4 linked regions of the Elephas maximus indicus genome follow. The protein of the gene in region 2 binds, or shares a complex with, the protein of the main gene of each other region. Links are inferred from orthologs where the notes say so. Each region holds a gene or a part of one and is shown on either strand. Other genes may lie near its edges.

Region 1 (5,662 bases), on a different chromosome or scaffold from region 2:
AGGAATGATGGTTCGGTTTTTTTCTGTTTGGTAGGCTTTGGGTTTGTTTGGCCTCCTCCCTACCGCTCTTCCCCGCTCCCTGTATAATGTAAACCACAAAAGCCTGGAAAAATGCCTGACACGAAGAGCTCAACAAATATTTGCCGAATGTTGAATGAACGAAAGAGCTCATTTGCTAGCTTGTCAGTCCTGACGACAAAGCGAAAAGTCCCAAAAGATGATGCAATTTACACAGAGAGAGAGAAAGACAATGACAGCTAAGACTTCAAAAATGGGAGAAAAGGGTGGGATACACTGATCACAAACCTCAATACTGACAGTATTATGGCGGTAGAAAAAAATCGTTGAGAAAATTCGGGATGAGGGAACATCATAAAATATGCGCAAGGCGGATTTAAGCGCCTGGCACTAAATGCTGGCCTTGAAATGCCCGTCATCTCCTGCTCGGCCTCCCAGGAAACCTTAGTCCCCAAAGCCCTCCCTGGGTCCCTCCACACTCGAACACATGTAGTCCACACCAAGAGAGTGAACAATTTCTAAACTTTATAGATAAAACGAAAACGGCAATCAAGTAGCCAAAAAACGAGCCTTCAAATCCCGTCTCGCTCCAGTACCGCCTCCCCTAACGCTTGCCGGCTCTAGGATCTTTCCACGATCCCAGTTCTCAGAAGTCCTGATTGTCTCCCACCGCTGTGTTCCGAAGGGTAAGCAGGAAGGCAGGTCAGGCAGGACGACCCTGGGTAACCATGTTTGTTCGAGGAAAGCGCGAGCAGCCGGAGTCATGGAAAATCGGTCTTCTTGGGGCAGGAATGCGCTGGAACGACGGGAAAAACGAGGAACGCTGGGAGATGTTCCCGCACAGCGGTGTTAATGCGGCGTCTCAGTTCTCCTCGGGCTTGTCCGCTGGCGGCCCGCAAGGCTGCAGCATCTTCTCCATCAAGTTGAAGCGGACTCGTGCCTTGCTCTCATTCTCCGCAATGGCGAAGTAGTTGAGAAGGTCGAAGTGGCCCATGTAGGAGCAGTACGAGTCCCGGTGCTGGTTCACCAACCACTCCCACTTGGTGGTGTCGGCGTGGCCGGTGCCAATGTACTTGGACTGCAGATGCTCCAGCTGGCTGTGGATGGTGTAGCGGTCCGTCATCTCGCCGTGTTCCCTTTTGATCCCGGGTCGGAGGCCACAAAACAGAAGTAGCTGCTCTGGGGTGTCAGGCCTGATAGACGGAAATCTCCGGACCCGCGCAGTCGCAAGATGATGGCGTCAGAGCGACGAAGCCGCGTTGACTCTTGGCCGTAGTGCTCAGACGGGGAAGCGGAAGCGTATTCTGCTACCTAATTGGGGTTGCCTAGGCGACAGAACAAGTGCCCCGCCCCTATAGGGACAGTCACGCCCCCTTCGTAGAGCGTTGCATGATGGTCCATTTAGTGGCTTTTGGCCGCGCCGTTTCACCTGGGGTCGTTGTTTGCTGGAACTGTAGTCCCCCTGGGTTCGTGCATGCAGGTTTTTGGGATCCCTTCTTGGTTATAAGAGGCCACGGGCGGCTTGGGGCTGGAGGAAATGGGGAACGCAAACTGGATAGCACTACAATGGACTCGATATAATTATGCTTTCGGAGTTCATGTGGCGGTACGGTAGCCCCTTTGCAGCCAGAGGTCGATCACCCTAAAGTCAGGAGATGCGAATTCTGGTCCCAACTCTGCCTCTTAATAAATTGTACGGATTGAGGGAATTATTTCAATTTTCAGGCCGCCGTTTCCTGCTTGATGACCAAAGTACAGTGCCAGTTCTGACACGTTCCGGCTTCCACACACAAGCTCCTCCTTCCACCCTAGCTTCTTATTTTGAGATCCTCCCTCCAACTCCTCACCCCATCCTACACGGCCCCAGCCTATACTTAATGTTACGTGCTGCTCGCGTCTCCAGTTCTTTGTACAAGCTGTTCTATTTGGAATGCCTTTGTTCTCTTGGCAAACACTTCTCCCTTTCAGTCAGCTCAAAAGCATCTCTTTGAAGCCTGCTCTGGCTACTCCAGACAGATGTAAACTCCTTCCTTTTTATATCTCGTACACCTCTTCTTTATTATCGCTTTATACTTTGATTTTTGGTTTAATAATGTTTCCTCGTGAGAATAGAAATTCCTTGAGAAAAGAATCCTATGGTTCTTTTATGATATTCCCATAGCCTAGCAGAATAGTTGGGAGAGATTGTAGTCTCAAAAAAACATTTGATGAAAGGGTAAACAACTGTATAACTAAATAGAAAAAAAAAAATAGAAGGAACTCTTTATTGGGAGAGATAACGAAAATATTTTTGTTCTGCTGTTTAAACTTTGTCATCACATATCATTTCTAAAGTGTAGACAATAATGTTTAGACAATATTATAAAGCATACCTTTGAGTTCACCAAGCAGAATTTTCAAACATTGCCATTTTTGTTATTATTTTGCCTTTGTTTGTTTTAAAGAAAACGATACAAATAAACTTCAAGTTTCTGAGTTCTTAATCTGTACACGTCAGGACAAAAACCAAACCAGCTGTCCTCTAGTTGATTCATGGCGACCCCAAGTGTGTCAAAGTAGAACTGCATTCCGTAGGGTTTTCAACGGCTGTGATCTTTCTGAAGTAGATATCCAGGCTTCTCTTCCCAGGCGCCTCTGGGCCCACCCGCCAAACTTCAGGTTAGCAGCCAAGCATGTTAACTGTTTGCATTTCCTAGGGACTCAACACTATTCTGAATTTAATCATTCCTGAGCCTGTTTTTCTATTGCTGAATGTTTTTGTATAGGTGTTAGTGTAACACATGTTGTAAAGTAAGGGGGAAAACCTCTGGATGGTGGCTGGGAGAAGCTATGCTGGCATTTCCACTTCTTCATGGCCCTAGTGCCGCTGCACTGACCACTGCACTGACCACTGCACTGACGGATAATATCAACATCATTACAGGGGCTGTCCACCAATCCCGATGGACCACGCCCCTGAACATTGCCATGAACATGCCCTGAAGAAGAACCCACCCCTCTTGTTTCCTCCCCATATATAAACCCCTGTGCCTGGAGATCAGAGAGGCGTCTTGGAGACCCAGGGTGAGATCCTTCACTTGGCCAAGCAGGTAAAGATTTTCTTCCTTCACTTTTGCCCAACTCGTGCCTCAGTGTCATGCCAAATGAAACCTAGAGGTCTGAAAACAAAAGCTTTACCTAAATGAAACTGAGTATGTATTGTTATGGAGCCTCTGGCTGGTGCAAACGGTTAATATGCTTTGCTGCTAACCCAGAGTTTGGCATTTCCAGCCCTCCCAGAGGCACCTTGGAAGAAGGCCCTGGTGATCTACTTCTAAAAAATCAGCAGTTGAAAACCCTACGGAGCGCAGTTCTACTCTGACACACATGCAGTTGCCATGAGTTGGAATCAAGTCCACAGCAACAGCTTTTTGCGTGTGCGTATTGTTATAAAAGTTGCTTCTTTTTTCACACTTCAGTATCCATGTTGATATATTTAAATTTAGTTCAAGTTTACTGCTGTGTAGTTTGCCACTGAATGGACATACTACAATATGTCCACTCTTTCACTAATGGACTTAGTTTATTTCCAGATTACTGCCATTAGAAACAATACTGCAATGAATATTCTTGTACGTATATTCTTAAACAGCTGAAGGAGTTTCTTTAGGGCATATACACAGGAATAAAGTCGCTAGGACATACAAATGAGTGTCTTCAAGCTTTGCTTGACACTGCCAAAATGCTCTCCAAAGTAATTATACCAATTGACTCTCCACCAGCAGAATGAGAATTCCTCTTGCTCCACGTTCTTTTCAATACTTGGTGTCATGGATTGAATTATGTTCCCCCCAAAAAGTGTGCATCAACTTGGTTAGGCCATGATTCCCAGTATTGTGGTTGTCCTCCATTTTATGATTGTAATTTTATGTTGAGAGCATTAGGGTGGGATTGTAACATCCCCCTCACTCAGGTCACCTCCCTGATCCAAGGTGAAGGGAGTTTCCCTGGGGTGTGGCCTGCACCACCATTTATCTCTCAAAAGATAAAAGGAAAGCGAAGCAAGCAGAGAGTTGGGGACCTCATACCACCAAGAAAGCAGCACCAGGAGCAGAATGTGTCCTTTAGACCAGGGGTCCCTGTGTAAATAAGCTCCTCATCCAGGGGAACATTGATGAGAAGGCTGACAGAAAGAGAAAGCCTCCCCCTGGAGCCGACGCCCTGCATTTGAACTTGTAACCTACTAGACTGTGAGAAAATAAATTTCTCTTTGTTAAAGCCATCCACTTGTGGTATTTTTGTAATGGCAGCACTAGATGACTAAGACAGTTGGTGTTGTCAGACATTTAAAAATTTTGTATACCTGAATGGTGGGTTGTCATTTCACTGTGGCTTTAATTTGCATATCCCTAAATTTTTTTTTTTTAATTACTAGGAAAGTTGTGTTACCAATCGCCAATCTGACACAATGGGTCCTTGTCTTTTCCCGAGTAAAAATACACGCGAAAGACCAACTTTATCTTCGGCAAGCTTTGTTTTGCTTGAGTCCAGTAAAAGAAGTCATTGGGGGACTAAGCCTCCACAAGGCTGACTTGAAAAGGGAAGCAAGGCTAGGGCTTATATGGGTTTGGTGGAGGCAATAAAGTAATGAATATTTAGTGGGCTTCTTTCACGGTACTTCTCAGTGCGCGCATCTGGAATCCAAGATGGAACCCACTGATATTCAAGATGGAGTCCTCTTGGCAGCCCTTGGCATCACTCATTATGGCATATAGCACAAGTGCACTGATCTTTGGCACTACATCACCATGTTTGGAGAGCTAAGAAAGGTTAAATCGCGGTCACACTTCGTTATGTGCATGCGGGAGCCTGTAAAGGGGGGGAAAAAAAGGAAGGGACTAGAAAAACACTAAGAAGGAGATAGTAATTCACAGGTTGTTTCAACCTTATGTTGACAGTGTGTGGTTCCTGTTTACCCAACTTGTAGATGGTAATCTTTTAACAGCTCTTTTGTTCTGCCAGCACAGTTAACCCTATCTGTCTCAGTCGAACATCTTCCAACTTGTTCTTTGGCCTATTGGGTTTCTGCTTCTGTGAACTACATATTCATATCCTTTGCTCATTTTCTTATTGGGATGTTTGTCTTTTTCTTACTAATTTTTAGGAGATCTTTATTTATTAAGATACTAGTCTTGCCAGTTATATGCAATGAAAGGATCTTCTCCCACTCTGTGACTTATCTTTACTCTTTTGTTGTGGTATCTTTTGTTGTACAGAAGTTTTTAAATTTTAAAGTAGTCAATTTATGAGTCTTTCTTTATGGTTTATGCTTTTCTCATTTGGTTTATTATTTGTTTTCTTCTGGTGCCTGATGGCTTCTTTTGTTGCTCACTTTCTATTTGTTCAAGTTGTAGGGACAGTTCTCTGCTTTTGGCTCTTTCTTCTTTTTGTATGTGTGCATTTATCGATATAAATTGGCCTCTGAACACTGCTTTTGCTGTGTCCCAGAGGTTTTGATAGGAAGTATTTTCATTCTCGTTGCATTCTATGAATTTCCTTATTCCCTCCTTGATGTCTTCTATAACCCAGTCTTTTTTCAGGAGGGTATTGTTCAGTTTCCAACTATTTGATTTCTTTTCCCTAGTTTTTCTGTTATTGATTTCTA
Region 2 (7,504 bases):
AAAAAAAAAACAAAAGCAATGTATTTACAATATATTAATCTACATTAAACTAAACCTTTATACTGATGTGAATTATAAAAACATTTTTGTTGCTCAATTTCGACCTCATTTTCAGTGGTTGTATTTTAAAGCCATTAACAGAAAGTGCAGATTTGGTTACATTTTGGTTAATTCCCAAACTGAACAAACCATGTGAGGACATCAGAGAGTAACCAAACTATTACTCAACAGGTATTTTATATTTGAGCCCACAGTCGTTTTAATATTAAGATACCAAGCTTAAGTGTTCAGGATATTCTTCACCACATAAGTATACCTGAGCAAAACAAATGTGTATTTTTTCTTCTAAATAACTTTTTTGTTCTTTAAAATATATACAGAACATACACCAATTCGACAATTTCTACACATACAATTCAATGACACTGATTACATGCAACTTGTGCAACCATTTTCACCCTCCTTTTCCGAACTGTTCCTCCGTTAACAAACTCACTGTTCCCTACGCTTCCTACCTAACCTTTTTGCTGTTGTCAATTTGATCCCAATGCTCAAGGTAGATATTTTTGGTTTAAAGTTTAAAGATTATTCCAGGGAAATAGTTCTCGGGATTCATCCAGCTTCAAAGCTCCAGAAAGTCTGGATTCCATGAGAATTTGAAATTCTGTTCTGCATTTTCCCCCTTTTGATCAGGATTCTTCTATAGTCTTTGATCAAAACACTCAGTAATGGTAGCTGGGCACCATCCAGTTCTTCTGGTCTCATTGCAAAAATAAATATTTTGAAACTAAACAATTTGAATTAAAAAAAGAAAATCCCATCTCAGCAGGACTGTATGAGACTATTAAGTCATGCAGTCAAATCAATTTTTATCTTTTCCAGTTACTCTCAGGCTAGAAAATATAAAATTTCATTCAAACTTAATGTATAGGATATCATGGGAGAATTCACAGATATGTCACAAACCCTAAAAGAAGGTGTAAGTAAACATTTACAGTAAAAATGTTTATACAGTATAATACATAAGGTTATATTTTCATTGTACATATTATACAAGTCACAACATACACATGAACTCATTTAACCCTAGCAACAACTCTGCCAGTTATATACTATTATTACCACCATTTTATGGATAGGAAACTTAGGCTTATTACGGTTAACCAAATTCTCCAAAGTCACACAACAGGTGAGTGAGAAAGTCTCAGCAAACACAAATGGTTCAGTTTGATTGGAGAACTAGGTTTTCAAATATCAGTGGTATAAGAATGGATGATCTCCTTGGTGGTGGATTTAAGAATGCTGTGTTAAGGAGTCTGGACTTTATTCTGCAGAAAATGAGTCCATCACTGTGGCTGTAATTTTTAAGAGGTAAGAGGAAGAATTCAGTTAAGCCAGGGTTATCTCAAACTCAGCATCACTGACATTTGGGGCCAGATAATTCTTTGTTGTTAGAAGCTGTCCTGGCCTCTGCCGGTTAGCTGCAGGCAGCAGCAGACCCCGCTCCCCAAGCTGAGAACCACTGAGTTATCCTAAACCAGGAAGAAGGTATGAAGTTGTAAAAGAAGATGGTATCTGTGATAAAGGAGGAAGAAAATTTAAAGACATTTTAGAGGCAGATCTGACAGGATTTCACAATTCATTAAATCAAGGGATTAGAAGAGCAAGGTATCAAAACTAGTTTCATCCTCAAATTCTGAAATAACATCTACTAAGAATCAGAAATCTAAAATTACAAGTAGAATGATCCTTTTATTAAAAAAAAATAATTACCATTTCATCAAGTCCTGATAAATCCTGAGGATACAAAATTTTATCAGCCCATCAATAAAATAATTTTAGATGATCGTTTTTTCGACAATAATTTCCACTTTTCTTAATGTTAATGTTGGGAGTATGATTTAATACTTAAGCCTTTAACAACTCCAATTAAGATTAATGGACAGAAATTTCGTAAAAAAGTTGGCTTTGATGCAAATGTATATTTAAATGTAAAATTATTAAATATCAATTCTTTCCCAAGTCTGACTTCTTTAAGGGGCTGGTAATAAATAAACTATACATAAGGCAGACCAGGTGGCTGACCCACAAAAACTGATCCTTGGATGCTAACCCTTTGTGCAATCCAACTACTACAGCCAGAATTCTGGCGCTACATGGTATAAACAATATAGAGAAGTACTCAGGAGACACGGAACATGTTACGCTCACTCAAGAAGTGTTTGAGGAGGTTAAGGCTTCAAACTGGGTCCTGTATAAAGCAGGAATATCCTACTTAAAAGTTCCGTTTGATTTTACTGGGTGCGGGGGTGGAGGGGGAAACAACCCTTCTCCCGATTAGAAAAATGAATGCTCTCTCATAATTCCGATGATAATAGCACAAGACGTTAAAGTTTAAGTACAAGAAGGCAAGAAAAAGGAATTGGATTTTTAAGTAAATGCTCAATCAACACAAACACACTCTCTAAGATGAAAGTGGCTTTTGACTCCTCATATCCTATAAAGACTTCCATTCCAGCCACCTTATCCAGAACATGATGCTGTTCACGATGTTCCACAAAGGCTGGCGTCGAGGTCCTCAAGTAACGAGGAAGGCCGTGGAGATGTGGGGCCGGGAGCTCGGGGACAAGGGAGGCAAATGGGCTGCATGCAGGTGCTTTTCGCGGCTTCTGGCAACCAGGCCGAAACGCAGGGTCCGTGCGGCCTTGGGCTCCGAAGCGCAGGGCCCTGACGGGGATCCGGCGGCCTCCGACCGGAGCGAGGGGCGGTGCAGGGGCCCATGCCCACCACTCGGCCTACGCACGCCGGGACGCGCTAAGGGAAATGGAGGGGGCGCCTAAGGCACCTGTGGCACGCAAAGAAGCTGCCACTGCGGCTGGGCCTTGACACTTACTTACTTTTTCAACTCGGGCGGGTGAGCCTTGCTCATCGTGGCTACTCGGGAGGTTCAGCGCCGCGTTGAAACAGAACTCGCGCCCTCCCTCACGCTCCGGCGGTCGGCTGGCGCTTTTGCGTCTGACGTCATCTATCCTGTTAGCCAATGGACTGATGGCAGCGTTCACATTTCACCTCGCGATACTTACCGGAAGCTTGAACGCGCCTCTGAGCTTCAAGCTTCCGGTTGCGTCGTAAGGGATTGGTTAGACAGCCTTTCTCAATTCCGTTTCCCCTTCTGTGAAATTGAGATAATAGTCCCGTCTGGCTTCTGAGCTACACCAGCCAATCCCGTCGGGGTAGATGGCACTGTTCATCTTCGTCATATATATACCAAATGAAAACAGCCCTGGAGTAGTTATGGCTAGCTGCCGTCTAGCCGTCCCCTGATGGTGAACCTGTGCACAATGAGATTGGACCTTTTTCCTTGGCTGATTTTTTTGGACATAGATAACCAGGCTTTCCTTCCCAATCTTAGTCTGGAAGCTCCCCTGAAACCTGTTTGGCATCATAGGAACACGCATGCCTCCACTGATTAAAGGGTAGTTGGAAACCCTGGTGGTATAGTGGTTAAATGTTACTGCTGCTAACCAAGAAGTCGGCAGTTTGAATCCGCCAGGCGCTCCTTGGAAACTCTGTGGTACAGTTCTACGCTGTCCTATAGGGTCGCTGTGAGTCGGAATCAACTCCAGGGCACTGGGTTGGTTTTGGTTTTTGGGGGGCTGTGCATGAGGTGCGTTGTCCTGGAATCGAGCTTGGACCTCCTGCATGGAAGGCAGGAATTCCATCACAGAAACTCCACTCTCTCCACCCACCCCTGGAGGAGCGAATCCCTAATGCTTCCTTGGCATTTATCACCACAGCACAGTATCACGTCAAATCCAGGGTTGCAGTAAGCATGAATTAGTGACCTCTCTCCACTAGAGTGACAGGGCTTCAGTCTCCAAGAATTTGTATCTTGAGCCCTGAAATGTATTCCCCATTGATGGCCCAGCAATTCTTGGAACACTGCCTCTATTTTGTAGTCATTCATAGAACCCTGCTTAATGTGCCATTGCCCCCACATATGAAGCGTGAGGTGTGGCACACAAAGCTCTGTATTGAGGTACCCATTTTCCACATCAAGCACACAAGTGTAAAAGGTGGTCCCTGACTTGTTCCCAGTTGTGAGGCTACTCCAAAACAGAAGAATCCACATTTATGAGTAAAACATAGCGGGGATGACAAAAGACTTAGGCCAAAATAGTAGAGTTCATTTCTGCTTTAAATACCTTGCTGATTCTAAGCAGGGGTGGTTCTCCAAAATTTAAATTCATTCCTAATGTTCGAGAACGCCTGCTGAAATACCAAGTACAGTAAGAACTTAAACTCATCAGTTATTTTGTATTCTTTTGGTACTCACAATCCTAGACATTGGATTTTCTCTAGACGGGTCAGAGCTGTGTACCTTTTCCACATGTTGCCATTAGTGTTTAGTTGAAACTAGAGACCTGACATGGATACCAAGTTTTTTTTTTTTTTTTTTTTTCCATTAATGGGCTTCAAGTCATAGTGCCCCAACCTTCCCTCAAAGTTTTTCTCATTTACAGTTGTCTTGCATCTGAACCATAACACAAAATCAATACTACTCTTCTGGACATCTTAAGAACTTATTTCACACATTACAAGGAGAAGCACCCTGAGAAAGTACACATTTGTTGTTCGGATATGAAGAAAGAAGCACAATAGTGTGGGGAAAATTAAACCTTATTTATTTTTTCTAATTAAACCACTAGGAAAATATATCACAGCCATGAAACAGCAGACAGGCTACAATAGCACTTCAAGTAATAAATTGGTAGAAAGATGACAAAGGCCTTATCAAAATGGTAAGGCGTCACTGAAGCAGGAACACTGCGCACTGCAGAGGCCTCAGGCAGAAAGTGGTATTTGGTAATGGGGGGCTGACCCTCCTTTGCTCGAAAGGAGCCACAGCTCTCCCTAGCTCCTGAGTTACTTTTCCTCCCTTGACTTTCATGTTGCCAGGTATTGGCTTAACAGGGCTGTTATTTCAGGGGGCTAAGCAGGCAGCTGGACACATCATCAGGAAACACCAATCACTCGAAAACGACGTTATGTTGGTAGAGCGCCAACAAAAACGAGGAAACCCTAAATGAGACAGATTGCCACAACAGCTGAAATAATGGACTCAGACATGCCAATGATCATGAAGACGGCACAGGACCAGGCAACACTTAGTTTTGTTATACATAAAGTACCATGAGTTGGACCCGACTCGATGGCAACTAACAACAACAAAAACAACAAGAAGTAAGTAATGCTGGGTTTAGGCCTTCATTTCATTCAGTTATATGAAAAACTAGGTTTATCCAAATCCAGCACAACTTTCTTAATTAAGCAGCCGACAGTTTCTCTTTCATCATTCATTCCCAGATATTGGTATGTATCACAATCAAAACCCCTTTTCCTTCAAATGAGTAGTGTCATTGCAAGATTGTCCTGTCACTCTACTGCAGACAGCCTCAGAGGCCACCAGAGCAGCCAGCGAGAAGGAAGTTCTGCTTCCCATACCCAGTGTGACACGGTCTCCCGTTTTTGCACGGTCCCAGGCTGAAAGGTGCAATATATGAGAATTTCAAGAAAAGCACATCTTGACAGTCAGATGGCCAAAGAGCCTTTCAAAGTTTTCATCCAACTACCCTGTCTCCCAGCTTGACATCTTAATCAATATCAGGCTCTTGGATATAAAACAAAACTAAGCAAAACAAAGACCCAGATCTCTGTTTTCCACTTCTGCATTACTGATCTTATGGATTCTGTTTTACAGCTTATGGAAAATGGGGTGGCGATACTTCTTGTAAACAGGAGGTTGGCAACAAACAGAAATACTCTCTTCAAACACCACCAGGTCATAGGTAGGCTGGAGGAACATGCCAGCCTGTTGGTACTTATGTGAGAAGCAGAATCTGGTGTGTTGGAGGCTCTGGCTTGATACAGCTGCTAGGATAAGCACTTGCCACATATAATTTAGGCTGTAAATAACTCTCCTGTGCTACCTACAACCCAAATTTTAGCACCAGTTTTTCCCACTTTACTTGCTATGGATTAAAACCTATAAAAGAACCAGCATCCACAGAGCCAGGTGACATAGTCCTTAAACTTGCTGCCATCCTTAATTTCTTCATTCCTAAACCTCACTTAAAAAACCAAAATTCCCATCCTGCCCTCATTCACAATGGCCACTAGCAAAGACTTTTATTTTGCAATGGATGAGAGAGACTCCTTCATCTTCTTGGTCATGGACGGGATGAGATGCATGTGGTCATCCACACACTTGGTCACACAGCTCTCCAGCTGCTGCTTCACCACAAGTTCCTTATTCCCTGCATCCATTGAGTCTCTGGCTTTGTCATTGCAATGCATGGTACACCGGGCCAGGCGGTCCTGTGGTAAGAAGGAAGAAGGCAGAAAAGGCTGAGAGGCTGCCTCCATTTACCCTGGGCTACAGGCTTGACATACGTTATCTTGACCAATTAAAGAGACACTGTAGTGCAAGTTGGGGCCCTGCTGACTCAGCTGCTAACTGGTCAGCAGTCTGAACTCACCGGCAGTTCCTTGGAAACCAGATGGGGCAGTTCTACTGTCTCACAGGGTTGCTATGAGTCGGAATCAACTTGACGACAATGGGTTTGGTTTTGGGTAGTACAGCTGGAGTCCCCAAGTGGAGCAAACAGTTAACGCACTCAGCTGCTAACTGAAAGGTTGGAAGTTCGAGTCCACCTGATGGTGCCTTGGAAGAAAGAGCTGGTGGTGATCTACTTCCAAAAAATCAACCACTGAAAACCCTACGGAGCACATTTCTATCCTGACACACAAGGAACTGCCATGAGTCAGAGCTGGCTGATGACAACTTGTTTTTGCTTTCTTTCTATAATGCAGTTACTCAAAACCAGGTAGGAGTCTCTGGGTGGCGTAAATGGTTAAGCATTCTGCTACTAACTGAAAGGTTGGTGGTTCAAATTCCCTCAGAGGTACCTCAGAAGAAAAGACTTGGTGATCTACTTCCAAAAAGTCAGCCATTGAAAATCCTATGGAGCACAGTTCTACTCTGACACACACATGGGGTTGCCATGGGTTGGAATGGACTTGATGGCAGCTGGTTTGGTTTTTACTCAAGACTACCCTGATTGAAGCAGACAGTGGTGCCAGGAGGGCCCAGACTAAACAGCACTACAAATAAACCGGAATAAACTGTACACAGTGCTTCTAGGACGCGAGAAGTTACTGCAGCTCAGGGGTCCAAGACCACACAAAGACTTAAAACATCTTGATGCTTTAATGTCTGTTCATGCTACTGAAAAACACTCAATTCAAAAAATATTATTGAGCATCTACTATATGCCAGGCACTCTTCTAATTATGAGAAATACGGCAGTGAGTAAGGCAGTTCCTGCCCTCATAGAACTTGCATCTAGTGAGGGAAGGTAGACAGACAAAAAAAATAAGTGGAGATGTTGAGGTAACAATTGGTTATATGAATCTGGATTTCAGGTACAATGTGTGGTCTAGA
Region 3 (6,837 bases), about 17 Mb from region 2:
ATCAAGCACGAAACAAAACACTGTGCAACTTAATGGTACATATATGAGATAAAACTGTAAAGTAGAAAATAATGCAATGAAAATTCGAGACAGCAACTACTCAAGCAGGAAAGGAAGCAGATACAACCAGGAAGGGGCCTACAGGAGCTTCTAAGGTACTGGTACTTCTTAAGCTGAATGGTGTTAGGAGACAATTCTCTATGGGTCTCACTTTTCTGCACATCTTGTGACCAGAGGCACTGCCAGCCTCTGCTGCAGATCATCTTGTCAGGGATGTTGGTACAGTGAACAGCCTTGAAAGAGAGAAACAGTGTTTCCTTACAAAGTAAAGGCAAGGTTACTGTCCGTTATAAAAGATCCAGGTTCTCAAAGCTCAGGGTTCCTCTCCCGTGAGGCACCGTGTGTACAGGTGAACCAAGCCGCCCTGTGGGAACTGACTCAGGGAACTCACACAGATGCTGGTAGTCTCACCACTGCTACTGCTGTGAGTAATAAACTGTCCTTTGTCTTTGAACCAGGAGTTCCATATTTTTTATCAGCATCCATGAAACTGTGCCAGACTAACTTGTTAGCCTGCAAATAGGATAAAATCTTAGACCTTTCACAGTTCTTGGCAAGTGGTAGATTTATGGATATATATTCATGCTCATCTTTAAACGGTACCTGTTCACTGTAAATTCAGTCCATCTTAATGCCTGTGATATATTTCACAATTTTTTTTAAAGACATTAACAGTAACTGGAATCCTAATACGTCCACCAGAGAAAACAATCTCCTCACCACAATTATGCAAAATATCTCACAAACCATTTCCCTTGCCAGGAAGGGGATACCTGAGGCTGACACAGTTATTTAAGTAAAGGAAGTCAGAGAATACCCTGAAGTTATTATTCAAAGATAATCAAGCTCTTTCTATGAGCAGGAAGCCCTGGTGGCGTAGTGGTTAAGTACTACGGCTACTAACCAAGAGGTCGGCCGTTCGAATCTGCCAGGCGCTCCTTAGAAACCCTATGGGGCAGTTCTACTCTGTCCTATAGGGTCACCATGAATCGGAATCCATTCGAGGACACTGGGTTTGGTTTGGTTTTCTATGAGCAAGATGCTATACTAGACCCTGCGCATAAAACAAAAATATATCAAACAGATAACCTGACCAAGAAATTTAAGAGCAAATATTACAGTATAATCATATACAGATAACCAGTACCACAAGGTACAAGAGACCCCTCCAGACACCGCCCCCCTCCGCTAGCATGTAGATGAGTGATATACGCATCTGCCATTTCAATAGACTTCTACTAACTCACCAGAATACAAGTATACAGGAATATATTGAAGTCAAGAGTACAAAATTGGGAGAAGGAATAGAGGATGTAATTGGGTTGGACAGGAAAAGTTACAAAGGTGATAACCAGCTGCTGTGAAGTGGACTCCAACTCAGGGCAACCCCACATGTGTCCGAGTAGAACCGTGCTCCACATGGTTTTGAATGGCTGATTTTTCCGAAGTAGGCCACTGAGGCACTTCTGGGTGGACTCGAACCACCACCCTTTCAGTTAGCAGCCAAGCATTACCATTTCCACCACCCAGGGACTCCTCAGAGGTGGCAGGCACCTATTTGATGAGCGGTAGACTTTCAACAGGATTCCCTGAGTGGCACAAATGGTGAAGCACTTGACTACTAACAGGAAGATTGGTAGTCTGAGCCCACCAAGCAGTGCCTCAGGAGAAAGCCTGGTGATCTGCTTCTGAAAGGTCGCAGCCTAGAAAACCATACAGAGCAGGTCCCATCTGCACACATGGGGACGCCAGGAGTTGGAATCGACTCCATGACAACAACAGACTTTCAACAAGTAGGAAGAGAGAGCACTCTACACAGAAAACCAAGGCTGGGCGATGGTTCTCCAGATCTCACCCTCTCACAAGTACTAGGGGACACCGAAAGAGCCCAGAGGAAGGAGGCAAAGGGGGAATTCATGGAGGGAGTAACAGTTTCACTGGCAGGGCTACTTCCACTAATTTAGAGACAGACCAGAATATGAAACCCACCTGCCCAAACCAGAGTGACTCAATCTCAGAGGAAGGACCAGAATCCAGACCTCCTGACTGCTACACCCCAAAGGGATAACGGGGTAGTTTTATGCAGGTGCACAGCACTCAGGCTCTTAACTGAACGGTCTGATCCCAGAAATTACAGCAAAACTCACACACCTCAGCTTTGTTGTAAAAAGTGAAGGAGTTAACACCTGAGAAGTAATCAACCCAGTGCCGGACCCTCCATAGGGATTCAGTAAAGGCAGGCTGCTGTTAATATTAACAAAAATACTACAACTACAATTATTAATATTAGCGGTCCCTAAGTGGTGCAAACAGCTAAGCGCTCGGATACTAACCTAAAGGTTGTCGAGTGGAACCCACCCAGAGGCGGCTCAGAAGAAGGGCTTGGCGATATGCTTCCAAGAGGTCACAGGCTTAAAACCCTACAGAGTGCAGTTCTACCCTGCACACATGGGCTTGCCATGAGTCCCAATCAACTCGATGGCAACCATTCGGGTTTGGGCTTTTCATTACTAATACTAGTACTGTCCTCGTTGACATCTGGATTCCCCCACCCCCACTCCTTGCAGGGAAGTCTCAGAAAGTCGGAAAGAAAGGACGAGGAAGGGTGGAGCCCGGCCCAACCCGGCCCGGCCCGGCCCCGCGCACCTCGCACCTCCCGCTCAGGCTCCGAGTCCTCATCCGCCTCGCGCTCCCGCTTCACCCGCACCACTGGGTAGGCGGGCGCCGGGGCCTCGCGAGCGCTCGCAGGCTCTGCCTCCCGCTTCACGCGCACCGGGCTGCCCCGGGAGCTCGCCGCCTCGGGCTCCCGCTCCCGATCTCGCTCCCGCTTGACGCGACCCGAGCTGCTCCGGGACTCGGATTCGCGTTTCCCGCGGGCAGAACCACGAGACTCCCGCTTGGACCGGCTAGACATCGCCACTACCAGCCGACCCGCCCGCGCAGACGCCAAGCACGCTGGGAGTGCCCGTCACGCGGCCAATCAGGAGCGGCGCTGTTACCGAGCCCAGGGGACTCTACGAGTCGCTTATGGGGACAAATCGCGCCGCCGGAAACTTGCAGGAGTCATCGCGCTTTTAGCGTTTTGCTTGCCATTGCGAGCGCTCTTGAGAATGTTTTGCGGGCCTACAGCCACCTTACTCGTAATTTCCAGTTTCAAGAAGCAGGAACCCTTTATTGGCAATCGCGTTTCTGAATCAAAGAAGGTGTCATACGGCCCTAGATTTGTTCAAGATATTTGTGACTGAAAACCAGAATCGGGAGGCTGGCTCCCACGGTCTCGGGATGTCAGAGCCTGACGCTCCTGCGCAGTACAACTAGGCGACATCCCCTTTTTGCAGCACCCTGGTGGCCCCAATTCCGACAGCGTTGCTCTTAGTACCACCAAACCAAACCAAAAAAAAAAAAAAAAAGACAAACCAAACCCACTGTCGTCGAGTCGATTACAACTCACAGCGACCCCATAGGACAGAGTGGAACAGCCCCGCAGGGTTTCCAAGAAACAGCTGGTGAATTTGAACTGCCGAACTTTTTTTTTGGTTAGCAGCCGAACGCTTAACCACTACGTTGCCAGAGTTTCCCTTGGTACCACAGGAGTAAGCAAATGCCCAATCGGGGCAGATTTACCAAGAAGCTGGTAAAACTCAGGCTTCAGGGCCTGTCACCACCCCCTTCTAACCCCTGTACTAGTATGTTTCTTGTTTTAACAGCTCTGTATGGGGCGGTTCTACTGTGTCCTTTAGGGTCGCTATGAGTCAAAATCGACTGTACAGCAACGGGCTTGGTTTGGTTTCTTAATTGAGTTATAGGAGCCCTGGTAGCATAGTGGTTAAGAGATCGCTTCTAACCAAAAGGTCGGCAGTTCGAATCCACCAGCCTCTCCTTGGAAACCCCCTGGGGCAGTTCTATTCTGTCCTATATATAGGGTCATTATGAGTTGGAATGACTGGACTGCAACGGGTTTGGTTTTCCGATTACTGAGGTATAAGTGACATACAATGAACTGCACATGTTTAAAGCGTACAATCTGGTAAGCTTTGACAAATGTATACACCGGTGAAACCATCACTACAATTAAGATAATGAAGTGTCCCCCTGCCCCACCCATCCAGCTATAGACTAATTTGCATTTCCTAGAGTTTTAAATACACGGACCCTTACAGTACGTACTCTTTTTTTTGCGGGGTAGGGGGGCTGGTTTCTTTCACTCAGCATAATCATTTGGGGATTCTTCCACGTTGTTGGTTTATCAACAGTTCATTCCTCTTGATTGCTCAGTAGTATTCCATTGTGTTGATGTAACACAGTTGGCCCTATTTTAATCATAAATTCCTACCTTTTATCTTTTTTTCAAAAAGAGCTCGAAAATTATATAGGTCTGGCTGGCGGCACGTCTTCGCCCAGGCCGCCCAGCACTTTGCCTCCTACCAACCTAGCAGGCGCGTGCTATCCGTGTCCCCATTTACAAGTGCGGAGACTGAGGCACTGGGGGATTAGGTCACGCGGCTGGTGATGGAGGTTCACAGTATCCTATCACCAGAATAAAGACAGGAAGGCTCCACAAGGGACGTTGAGTAATACAATGGGTGATTTGTACTTTCCTGATGTATTTTGGCTTCTGAGCAGTAAGCCTAAGTCTTGTCTCGCATTGATAATGTTACAAAGGAAACAAACAGCCCGGTCAAGTGGCGGAAGCGCTTCCCTGGCCTCCCCACTCCGCCACTCCCTTGTCATTTCAGCGCGAGCAGCACTCGGCCTCCTTGGCCCGTCCGGGACCGGAAGTCACGACGCGGAGCCGGAAGTTGAGCTAAGGGAGAGGCGGGCCTCTTCCGACGGGAGGGCGGCCGTTGAGACCGTTGAGGCGGCTGCTGCTCCGCGAACAGGGCTTCAGATGGAGGCGGCGCCGGCTCCCGGGCCGGGGCTCTGCTGCAAGCCTGGCGGACGACTGGACATGAGCCACGGCTTCGTGCAGCACATCCGACGGAACCAGATCGCTCGGTATCGCCCCTCCCCGCGCCGGCGCCACCCCCTGCCTGGCCCAGCCGGGCCGCCCCTGACTCCCGCTCGGCTCCCCATAGGGACGACTACGACAAGAAGGTGAAGCAGGCAGCCAAGGAGAAGGCGAGGAGGCGGCACACGCCCGCGCCGACGCGGCCCCGCAAGCCCGATCTGCAGGTGTACCTGCCGCGACGCCGAGGTGAGGCCGCCCGCCCCGCCTGCCTCCTCCAGCCCGCGCGCCCTTCCGGCCCCGGGCCCTCTGCTGCGACGCACTCCCCTTCTCTGTATGGAAAAAAACCACTTCTCGTCCCCCGAGGCTCCGATCACGTCGCCCCTGCCCGGAACCTCTGCTTCAGCCGTCCCCCACCTCGGTTTAGTTATTCTCCCCGGGGAACAGGGAGGACTCATGGCCCCCACTTAAAAATCCCGATTGCTGTTACAGGAGATACTTGTAGCAAAAAGTTGTTTGTGGGTTTGCCCCGCCATACCGTACCTCTGTATCTGCAGTGCTTGGCGGAGGGGAAACCTGGCCCAGCTATAAGTGACCAGGACACAATTGTGGAATAAAACCCAAACCCAGTAAATGGATTTTTCCCTAGCTTCACTGGGATCTAGAGATCAGAGTAACTAACAGTGCAATAGTGCCTTTACCTTTTCCATACGCTAACTTATTTAGTGTTCGTAGGATCCCGTAAGATGGAAATGATTATCACATCTGTTTCACAAGTGAGGAAACTGGGCACAGGGAAGTTAAGTAACTTGCCTGAAATCTGAGAGCTACTAAATGGCAGAGCCTGGATTTGAACCCAGGCAGTGGCTCCAGAGACTGTTCTATCCACTCCTCCAATACCTTCCAATCCTATTCACCAGACAAACAGGCATTGTATACCTACTATGTGAAAGGACTGTGCTGGGTTCCCAGCAATGATATAAAGGTAAATAAAACTGCTTCTAATTGGTAGCACACCACACACACATACACACAATTCAGGGCCCATAAGAAGATTGGGACTTTGTTTTCCTGCGTCATCTCTGTGTGCAAGGGCTCCAACTGCCTCCCTCTCTTCCCTCTCACTTTGGTTCATCCCTCCAGATGGTTCTACTCACACAGGCAACCCAGACTATGAGGAGTCCGGTGACAGCAACAGTAGTGGTGGATCTGAGCTGGAGCCTTCTGGCCATCAGCTTTTCTGCTTAGAATATGAGGCGGACAGCGGAGAGGTCACGTCAGTTATCGTGTATCAGGTACGCCTCCTGTGGAAACAGCTGCAGCCTAAAGGCCCTGGGCCATGGTAGGCGTTACTGCCAGACCCTGAGCTGCTGTCTGACTCAGGGCCAGTGGGAAGAGTGCATTCCACGTGGGAGCATAGGACTATTGGGCAATGCTTTACAAACACGACTCCCTCCCATCTCACAGTGATTTTCAGAAGGGAACAGGGAAGGCTCGTGCCCCCAGTTGAGAATCACTATTACAGGGGATAATCTGGGAAATGACAGAGCCAGCAGGAAGCCGTGAGCCAAACGGAGTTCTGTGAGAGCATTGTCTGGGGATGGGGCAGGCTGCCTTTCCAGAAGAGGCCAGGCCCTGAGCTTCCTGACTCTTCCTCCACGTAGGACGATGACCCCGGAAGGGTGAGTGAGGAGGTGTCAGCACACACGCCTCTGGATCCACCCATGCGAGAGGCCCTCAAATTGCGCATCCAGGAGGAGATTGCAAAGCGACAGAGCCGACACTGAGGGGTTGAAGGCATTGTCTCCAGGCTGGGTTTACTGCATTCAAAG
Region 4 (7,985 bases), on a different chromosome or scaffold from region 2:
TCTGGTTCATGAATTACAAAGGGCTCTGCCCCTGTCCAGTAAGAACACCAACTCAGGAAGCCACAGAGACATCATAAAGCCATGTGGGGGATGCAGGGATTAGGTGGTAGAAAGGTACTTGGAGATGGTGGTCAGGACATCCCTGGGGAGCTGGGACAGTTGCTCTGCCCCTGCCCTCTAGCCACCCGTTGATGACATCGCAGCTGCCTTTTGAGTAAGTCCCGCTAAGTCCCAGGAACAAGGAAGGTTCACATCTCCCTAATACATACTGTGATTTGGTCCTAAAGTAAAGAGTGAAGGAGGGTTTGTGGGTAGCTCTCACCCATGGTTCCTTCCCTCTACAGCTTGATTCCATCCTATGGCCTTCTCCAAGTTCCTCTGTGCTCAGCTGGCTCCTGTCAACCAAATACCATCCTCCAGAGGCCTGGGCATTCCATCATCATCCCCACTGTACTTCTTTTGTATCCTTTCTCCCTCCCCTAATCTCGCCATCAGAAAGTATTTCCTTTTGCCTTCTGATTGGCTTCATGGGCCCTGGGACTCACCATGGCTTTCCGGTCTTCCTCAGCCATCTTGAGGCGCTTTTGAGCCTCTTCATAAGCCTAGGAGAAGAAACCAAGAGGGGAGGGCTGTGAGGGCAAGAAGCCCCCCGACAACCCATCGCCATCCCCCTTTAGAATTGCAAAGGATCATTCTGATGTGCCCCCTCACAGAGAAATATCCCCTCAGTAAGGAATCTCTATGGCTGCAGGTACAGCAGGGAGGTACCTTAGCAGAGAACCCGAAGATGAACATACTGCTAGAGATGATCCCTGTCTTCGTACCATCTCTGGGATCACACCCAACATCAGATTTGACCCAGGGATCTTCTTGGGGATTTACAGAACATTCTGGCTCCTATGCACCTTCTTGTCTGACCGCTCTAGGACATTGCGAGTCCGATCCTTGTCCCGCTGCCGAACGCGCTCAGCAAAGGCATCACGTTCCTCCAGGTCCTGAAGGCGCTCGCGCTCTGTCCGCTCCCATTCATCCTCTGACTCTGGCTTCTCCGTCTGCTGTTTACTCCCCCTGCAGCCCGGCCCAGGAGATTAAGTAAGGGCATCCACAGGGCTTATAGTCCCATCATCCACCTGCCCCATCCCCTCTCATCTTGCTTCTAACTTACCCCGTCTTTCTCTTTTCTTTCTCAGAGATCACTTCCTCCTCTTCTTCCTCGTCCTCCTGGCATTTCTTCCTGAGGTGTTTCCGTTTTTTACGCTTCTTCTGGAGGCTGCTCCCAGCCCTACCCACAGTCTCCTCACTGCTATCCTCACTGTCTTCCAGCAACTTATAAGATCGGTTCTTTTCCAGCAGGGCTCGGGCCTCTCGCTCAGCTGCCCGAGCTGGCTTTTCTACCACTGCCTTCCGTGGTACCTGTCAGGAGAGGGGAAGGTAATGGGGTGCGAGCAACTCCTGACCTCTGCCCACTTACTTAGCCCTGTGCCTAAGTTAATTTCCCTTTGAGGAATTACTCGCTCTTAAACCAACCTTTGCCCCCTCTCTTCCCCATGGCTTCACATCATGTTCCTTAGCCTTAATAGGACCCTCCAACTTTTGAACGTCCTCTCATTCATTTGGCAAACATTTATTAAGCCTGTTATGTTTCAGGTACTTTTCTAGGGACTACAGACAAGGAATAAACAAAAAAGATAAAAATTCCTGCCCTTGTGGAGCTTACATTTTCAGGCCAATTCTCAATTGCTCAGCCTCTTTCTCCTGGCTTTGTTCTTCCCAGTGATTGGGTCATTCCTACAAAAAAGGCTGACAAGCTACAAGGGTTGTTTTGCAGAGGCTTGTCACATGCCCCGAACTGTATCAAACTCCAAGGATAAACTGGTGAAAAGAAAGTCTTGTCCACATGGCACGTACATAACCTCATCTCTCGCCATGCAGCATATACCACAGCCACACCAGGCTATCTGCCATTCTCTGAATATGCTGAACACTTTCACTCTTTCTACAAGGCAGGAACTTAGGTGGTAGGAATACAAAGACAAGAAGTACACAGTCCTGTGCTCCAGGAGCTCACTATTTATACCACTACTCCTTCCCCCTTCTCTACCTGACAAATTCTAGGGGCTCTTGGGACCTGCCTTCTCTGGTCACTAATTCCTCTTCTCCATCCACAGCACTTCCCACAAATCTCTTCTATGGCCTCCCACTCAAAGTGTGGTCAGTGGACCAGCAGCATCCGCATCGCCTGGGAGCATATTAGAAATTGCAGAAACTGAGACCCACCCCAGACCTCCTGAATCGGAATCTGCGTTTTAAACAAGGGGCCTAGATGAATCGTAAGCACGTTCAAGTTTAACACACTGTTCTATAGCACTTAACGCAGCCTAAAAGTAACATACTTAAAGCCTTCTCCTCGATCTTCTCCACTGAGCTGGACGCCCAGCACCTAGCACAGTACCTGGGTGACAACGGACAACGGATACACACCTGGCGAACTGACGTTACTTAACTGCGGGACAGACATTTAGGCCAGCCTCACCAGGACCTACGTAGGGCTCCTCCCCTGCTCCACCCCTACTCCTACCGCTCCCACGCCAGGCACCGCCCCAGTCGCGCTCCACCTCTCCCGACACCTTGTTCCAGAGTCTCAGGGCGAAATCCCGGGCCGGGCCACTGAGGTCCAAGGTGTCGGTGTCTCGCAGACGCTGCACGAACTCCTCGGCCGAAGCGCAGCGCTGAGCGGTGCCGATCAGGAACTGGGCTACGTGCCGCTCGCTGAGCCCCAGTACCGAGTGCAGCTCGTCTTGCACCCAGCGCTCCAGCCCGGCCGGCGTCGCCATGGCAACCTACGGTCACCACTCCCAGCCTTGAAGCGTCCGGACGAGCCGAGCTGGGGCCAGTCTGCTTAGAGGCCTGGACCCCCGAGCCGGACCCTAAACTCCGCAAAGGAGCCCACTTACGGCCTCCGGGTTCAGTTTCCAACAAACCCAGTCCGTCTTCCCGGACCCCGAAAGCCGGAAGCGGACGCGCTTTTCCGGCCTGAGCACTACGGTGGCCGAACAAGTTCAAGCGTCGCGTTACCGTACGAGAAGCTCGGAGTAAAGCACTTCCTCCCCCCATTTCCTCCTCTACCCAATCGTGCTATCGCCCCCTGCTGGTCAGCTCGTGGGTGCTTCACTCATTCATTCAACAAATACTGAGTTTTTTTATTTGTGGTTAAGTATGGTGGCCTAGTGCTGTGGCTGCTAGCCAAAGGGTCGGCAGTTCCAATCGCCAGGCGCTCCTTGGAAACTCTATCGGGCAGTTCTACTCTGTCCTATAGGGTCGCTATGAGTTGGAATCGACTCGACGGCAGTGGGTTTAGTGGTTAAGTACTATGGCTGCTAATCAAAAGTTTGGCAGTTCGAATCCACCAGGCGCTCCTTGGAAGCTGTGTGGGGCAGCTCTACCCTGTCCTGTAGGGTCTCTATGAGTCGGAATCGACCCCACGGCAGTGGTTTTTTTTGGGGGGTTAAAGTGTCAGTCGGAATAGACTCCACAGCAACTGGTTTTAATTGTTTAAAGTGCTCTGCAGTTAACCAAAAGATCGGCGGTTCAAACCCACCAGCCACTCTGCAGAAGAAAGTTGTGGCAGCTGGCTTCCTAGAGATTTACAGCCTTGGAAATCCCATGGGACAGTTCTACTCTGTCCTATAGGGTCGCTATGAGTCAGAATCAACTCCACGGCCATGAATTTGGTGGGGTTTTGTTTGTTTGTTTGAGGTAGTTCTAGTTGCAGAAGGGAAACCCTAGTGCCATAGTGGTTAAGAGCTATGGCTGCTAACCAAAAGGTTGACAGTTCGAATCCACCAGGCACTCCTTGGAAACCCTTTGGGGCAGTTCTGTTTTGTCCTATAGGGTCGCAATGAGTTGGAATCCACTCCACTGCAGCGGGTTTTTTTTTTTTTTTTTAGTTGCAGAAGATACAGCAGAGAACAAATCAGACAAAAATTCGTTACCGAATTTACATTTGAGGATGCGGGCAGACAAGATAGGTAATATGTAAAATAGGTAAGTTCTATGGAACCAAAAATAAAGCAAGTAAGGGGGAGAGGAGTTATATTTCAAATAGGAAATTCAGGCCCATGCTTCTGAAAGATTAGCCAGTGATGAGAAGGGACCTTTGCTAGGACCCGTACCTGCAGCAGGAGTGAACACAGGTTAGGTATAAGGAGGGACCTCCAGACAGAAGAAACTTGGGAACTGGGGGGAAAAGCAAAGATGTTCTCTTTTCTTGATGCTCAGAAAGTTGTTGGGGCGGGGGGTGGGAATCCAAACTAAGGAATGAGCAAACTCTGCACTTTTGGTAATAGCTTGAGTAATTCACTGATGGTTGCTTATTTGAAAGCAAACTTGTTACCTGAAGCTCTGCTGGCTCACCTGTTTGACCCTCCTTCATACTCTTGTGGTTGATTGGACTTATCAGACACTACTGTTGGAAAATGAAACGTTGTTATTCCATTAAAAGGCACAGGGGGATCCATATCATTGACTTCTTGGATGCCTTGTTTTCTGTTTCAGAGGTGGACTGAGAGCACCACCCCTGGTATCTTAGAGCTTCCTGCCCCAGCTTTTCTAGGTCACAACTGGTTAGAATCTTTACTGAATTTGCTACTGATAAAAGAATTGTTCCCCTCCATACCCACACCCTCTCTGAACTGCTCACTCTTTTGTTACCTTGCTTGTCATATATGCTTAAGATTAATTTGTCTAATACATTTTGTTTTTTAACAAAGGGGGGTCTCCTCTGGTTAGACTGGATGAGGCATCCTGTGTAGTGGTAAAAGGACTATAACTACTCAACTATGCCTTTACTAGCCTGAAGAGCTAATAAATAACTTCATAGGTAAAATGTTTCCTGCGTGGTATAAAGCAGTTAACGTGGTTGGCTGCTAACTGAAAGGTTGGTGGTTCAAGTCCACCCAGAGGTATCTCAGAAGAGAAGATTTGGCAATCTACTTCTGAAAAAAAAAAAAAAATCAGCCATTGAAAAACCTATGGAGCACTGTTCTACTCTGACACACATGGAGTCACAATGAGTCAGAATCAACTTCATGGCAACTGAAAAAATAGGTAAACTATAGCAGATGTTACACATAGAAGATAGATTCTTTGAAATAAGAAAATCCCCTAATGTCAACTATGGGTACCAAAGCCATGAATTATGGTGGTTCTTAACCCTTTAGAATATAAAATCTGTTGCCTATCAGAGGAGACCCTCTTCCAGGAACTTGACCTTCTGTAGATAGTCACTAAATTTTGCAGCAGTTTCAGAGGACTGACTGTTGATGGCCCCAAACCTTAGACTAAAAAAAGCTCCTGCAGTAGCCACATGAGTTGTGTCACACATTACAGTTGCTTGCATGGCAGCCAGCATCTGGATATTGCAATCCTTTAATTCAGTGTCCTGTGCTTCAGATTTATTTTTTATAGCTCCTTTCATGAATTCATCTGTTCAGTCATTCTAGAAGTAATTATGTGCTTATTAGGTGCCAGATGTGGAGACACCACAGTGAACCCAACTGACATAGTCTGCCCTCATGATACTTCTAGTCTACTGAACACCTCAACTGTCCTTCCTCACATCTGCTTGTCCTGCACGTGAAACCCATGCAAGGCTCTCCTAAAGCCCCTTCTATACTCAGTGCTGAGTTCCTGGTTCATCCTCCATTATTCTTCCTTCCCACAGCCACAGCCCCTTCCTCTTCACTGCCAATGGGAAGATGAGAGAGGCTTGGAAATGAGGAACCCGAAGCCTTTCCTCCACATACACTTTTTCTTTTTTTCTAAAGAAAGAGAAGCAACACGAGAGTCGGAGAAAGCTCCATTTTATTACGGAAAGTTAAAAAACAAAACCACATTCATAAAGAAGGAAAGGCAGGTGCCTCCTTAGTCACCCCACACTCTTACAATTCAATTGTGAACCACTAGGAGGAACAGAATTAAATAACTATCTGGGAGTACAAAGTCAAGATTCCCAGCCTTCCCTCTTGGGGAAAACTGAGGCACAGTAATACTGAGCAAAAGTGGGAGGAGCCACGCCCCAGGCGACTCCCAATGAGGCAACTGAAGGAGGGGGGAGAGGAAATCCACGTGGACTCGGCAAGTGGGCGTGGCTTGTAAACGTGGGGTTTTGGCAGCATGGGGCTGGGAGTTGGTGGGGTTTGTAAACCAGGCTGTGGTCAAGAGAGGAGGCAGGAGCTGTAAACACAAGGGTGGTGATCTAGGGATCGGAGTGAAGGCCAGGCCTCCCAGGGACATAGATGAGTGCTTAAATCCTGAGAGTACCTGGTGGGGAGGGGAGCTAAGGAAGGCTGTAGGGACAGTGTCTGTGCCCATGGAAATGGGGGGTCCTCCATCTTCACACACACCCCCAGTGGGCTCTGTGCACCTGTCCAGGGCTTGGGACTCACTCTTGGATCACCTAGATGCACCAGCACGTTTGACACACCAGGGACCTTGGGTTAGGGTTGAAGTTGAGCAGTTGTCTCTGCCCCCATAAACAGGACGAGAAAAGCAAGCTGGGGGATGTTGGTTGTTCTTCCCTGCCACGCTCATTTTCAGGGTCTGTCTGCCCAAGATCTTCTAGGCTCCAGGATCTTCAGTTCTGGGAAGGAGGGCAATATATCTTCCCTGTGTGGGGGAGGGTCACCTCCGGCAGGACTCATCTGTACAAGAGGCAATAATGATAGAGAATGAGTGAGGGCCTTTGCCTCCTGCCCTCCTTGCCCCAAGTTAAAGGGCAGTTGGCATATAGGAAATCAAATCCTATAACCTCTTCCTCGTCTTGAGTGCTTGTTACTACCAGTAACAGCAACCATCAATCATTTACCTTGTACTGCATTCTGTTCTAGGCACTCTTATGTTATTAGGTGCGGTCAAGTCATTTTAGACTCATAGCGACCCCATGTGACAGAACAGAACTGCCTCGTCAGGTTTTCTATGCTATAATCTTTATCGGGGCAGATTGCCAGATCTTTCTCTGGTAGAGCTGCTATAGGGGGTCGAACCGACAACTTTTCAGTTGGCAGCCAAGTGCTTAGCCATTTGCGTCACCGGGGCTCCTTCAGGCACTCACATAATCCTTAATTCCACAGTAACACCGGGAGAAGTGAAATAAAATAATTTTGTATCCAGCCATGGTTCTGCGTGCTTCACAAAAATCATTTAATCCTCTCAATTCCCAGAGGTAGTTATTATTAACCCCATTTCAGAGGTGAGAAAATGGAGGCCAGAGAGGTCAAATGCTTTCCCTGAGGACACAGCACAAGTAAGAGACAAGCTGGAATTCAAACAGGAGCTTGTCTGATCTTGTTTTTTGAACTACACTCCCATTGCCCATTGCCTTGAGTCTACACTAGAGCACCGAAAAAAAGCCCTGATCTTGGAATCTGGAGGCCTGCTGCGCACTTCGCTTCCCAGTGCCTCAGCTTCCCCATCTGTAAAGGAGTGGGTTGGGCTAGAGGTCCTGCCGAGCCCGTTCCAGCGCCAACATTAAGCCCTTCCCTTCCTCCTAGGCTGCAGTGCCAGCCCCCAACACCAGGTGGCGCGCTCGGCGCGGCAGAGCCTCGCTCACCCACTATTAGGGCCTTGGTGCGCAGCCCGCCCTGGAGCTCCCGCTGCAGAAGCAGCAGCTCCTCCTCATCCTCGTCTTCGTCGGGCTGGGCTGCTGCGGGTCCAGGGGCACTGGGGATCTCCGGCTCTGGGCCCAGCTCTTCCAGCACCGAACTCTCGGAGGGGTACTGGTACGTCGTCTCCAGGGCCGTCTCGCTGAAGGAGATCTTTAACTGGGTGTGAAAGAAAGAAGGTGGAAATGAGGTCAGCCCTGAAGCTGGCTGGGTGGGAGGCAGGGGTTGGGCTAGGGCGCCATGCTGACGACTCTCCCCTGCTCAGCCACTCTGACATGCAGTTTCCCTTTTGATACTGGCTCTCCAATCCCAGATTTCCCGTCT

What was found.
Region 1: SNRPG (region 2) and SF3B5 share a complex: the UniProt entries of both Homo sapiens proteins name them as parts of the minor spliceosome. The link is inferred for Elephas maximus indicus from reciprocal best matches to the Homo sapiens genes SNRPG and SF3B5.
Region 3: SNRPG (region 2) and USP39 share a complex: the UniProt entries of both Homo sapiens proteins name them as parts of the U4/U6-U5 tri-snRNP complex. The link is inferred for Elephas maximus indicus from reciprocal best matches to the Homo sapiens genes SNRPG and USP39.
Region 4: SNRPG (region 2) and DHX16 share a complex: the UniProt entries of both Homo sapiens proteins name them as parts of the minor spliceosome. The link is inferred for Elephas maximus indicus from reciprocal best matches to the Homo sapiens genes SNRPG and DHX16.

What each region holds. Positions count from the first base shown.
Region 1 is NC_064819.1:214,617,782-214,623,443, forward strand, and holds SF3B5 (splicing factor 3B subunit 5), read right to left. Parts: upstream 1,271-5,662; 5' UTR 1,142-1,270; coding exon 881-1,141; 3' UTR 524-880; downstream 1-523. UniProt on the Homo sapiens protein: Component of the 17S U2 SnRNP complex of the spliceosome, a large ribonucleoprotein complex that removes introns from transcribed pre-mRNAs.
Region 2 is NC_064835.1:65,894,545-65,902,048, reverse strand, and holds the start of SNRPG (small nuclear ribonucleoprotein G), read right to left. Parts: upstream 3,025-7,504; 5' UTR 2,930-3,024; coding exon 2,898-2,929; intron 1-2,897. Other genes in the region: protein FAM136A, read right to left, coding at 6,190-6,378. UniProt on the Homo sapiens protein: Plays a role in pre-mRNA splicing as a core component of the spliceosomal U1, U2, U4 and U5 small nuclear ribonucleoproteins (snRNPs), the building blocks of the spliceosome.
Region 3 is NC_064835.1:48,988,111-48,994,947, forward strand, and holds the start of USP39 (U4/U6.U5 tri-snRNP-associated protein 2), read right to left. Parts: upstream 3,005-6,837; 5' UTR 2,975-3,004; coding exon 2,707-2,974; intron 1-2,706. Other genes in the region: C17H2orf68 (UPF0561 protein C2orf68 homolog), read left to right, coding at 4,949-5,055, 5,136-5,622.
Region 4 is NC_064819.1:90,992,556-91,000,540, forward strand, and holds the start of DHX16 (pre-mRNA-splicing factor ATP-dependent RNA helicase DHX16), read right to left. Parts: upstream 3,022-7,985; 5' UTR 2,835-3,021; coding exon 2,628-2,834; intron 1,414-2,627; coding exon 1,166-1,413; intron 1,069-1,165; coding exon 906-1,068; intron 895-905; exon of another isoform or gene 796-894; coding exon of another isoform or gene 769-795; exon of another isoform or gene 668-768; coding exon of another isoform or gene 603-667; coding exon 546-602; intron 396-545; coding exon of another isoform or gene 323-395; intron 1-322. Other genes in the region: PPP1R18 (phostensin), read right to left, coding at 6,682-6,701, 7,610-7,820. UniProt on the Homo sapiens protein: Required for pre-mRNA splicing as a component of the spliceosome. Contributes to pre-mRNA splicing after spliceosome formation and prior to the first transesterification reaction.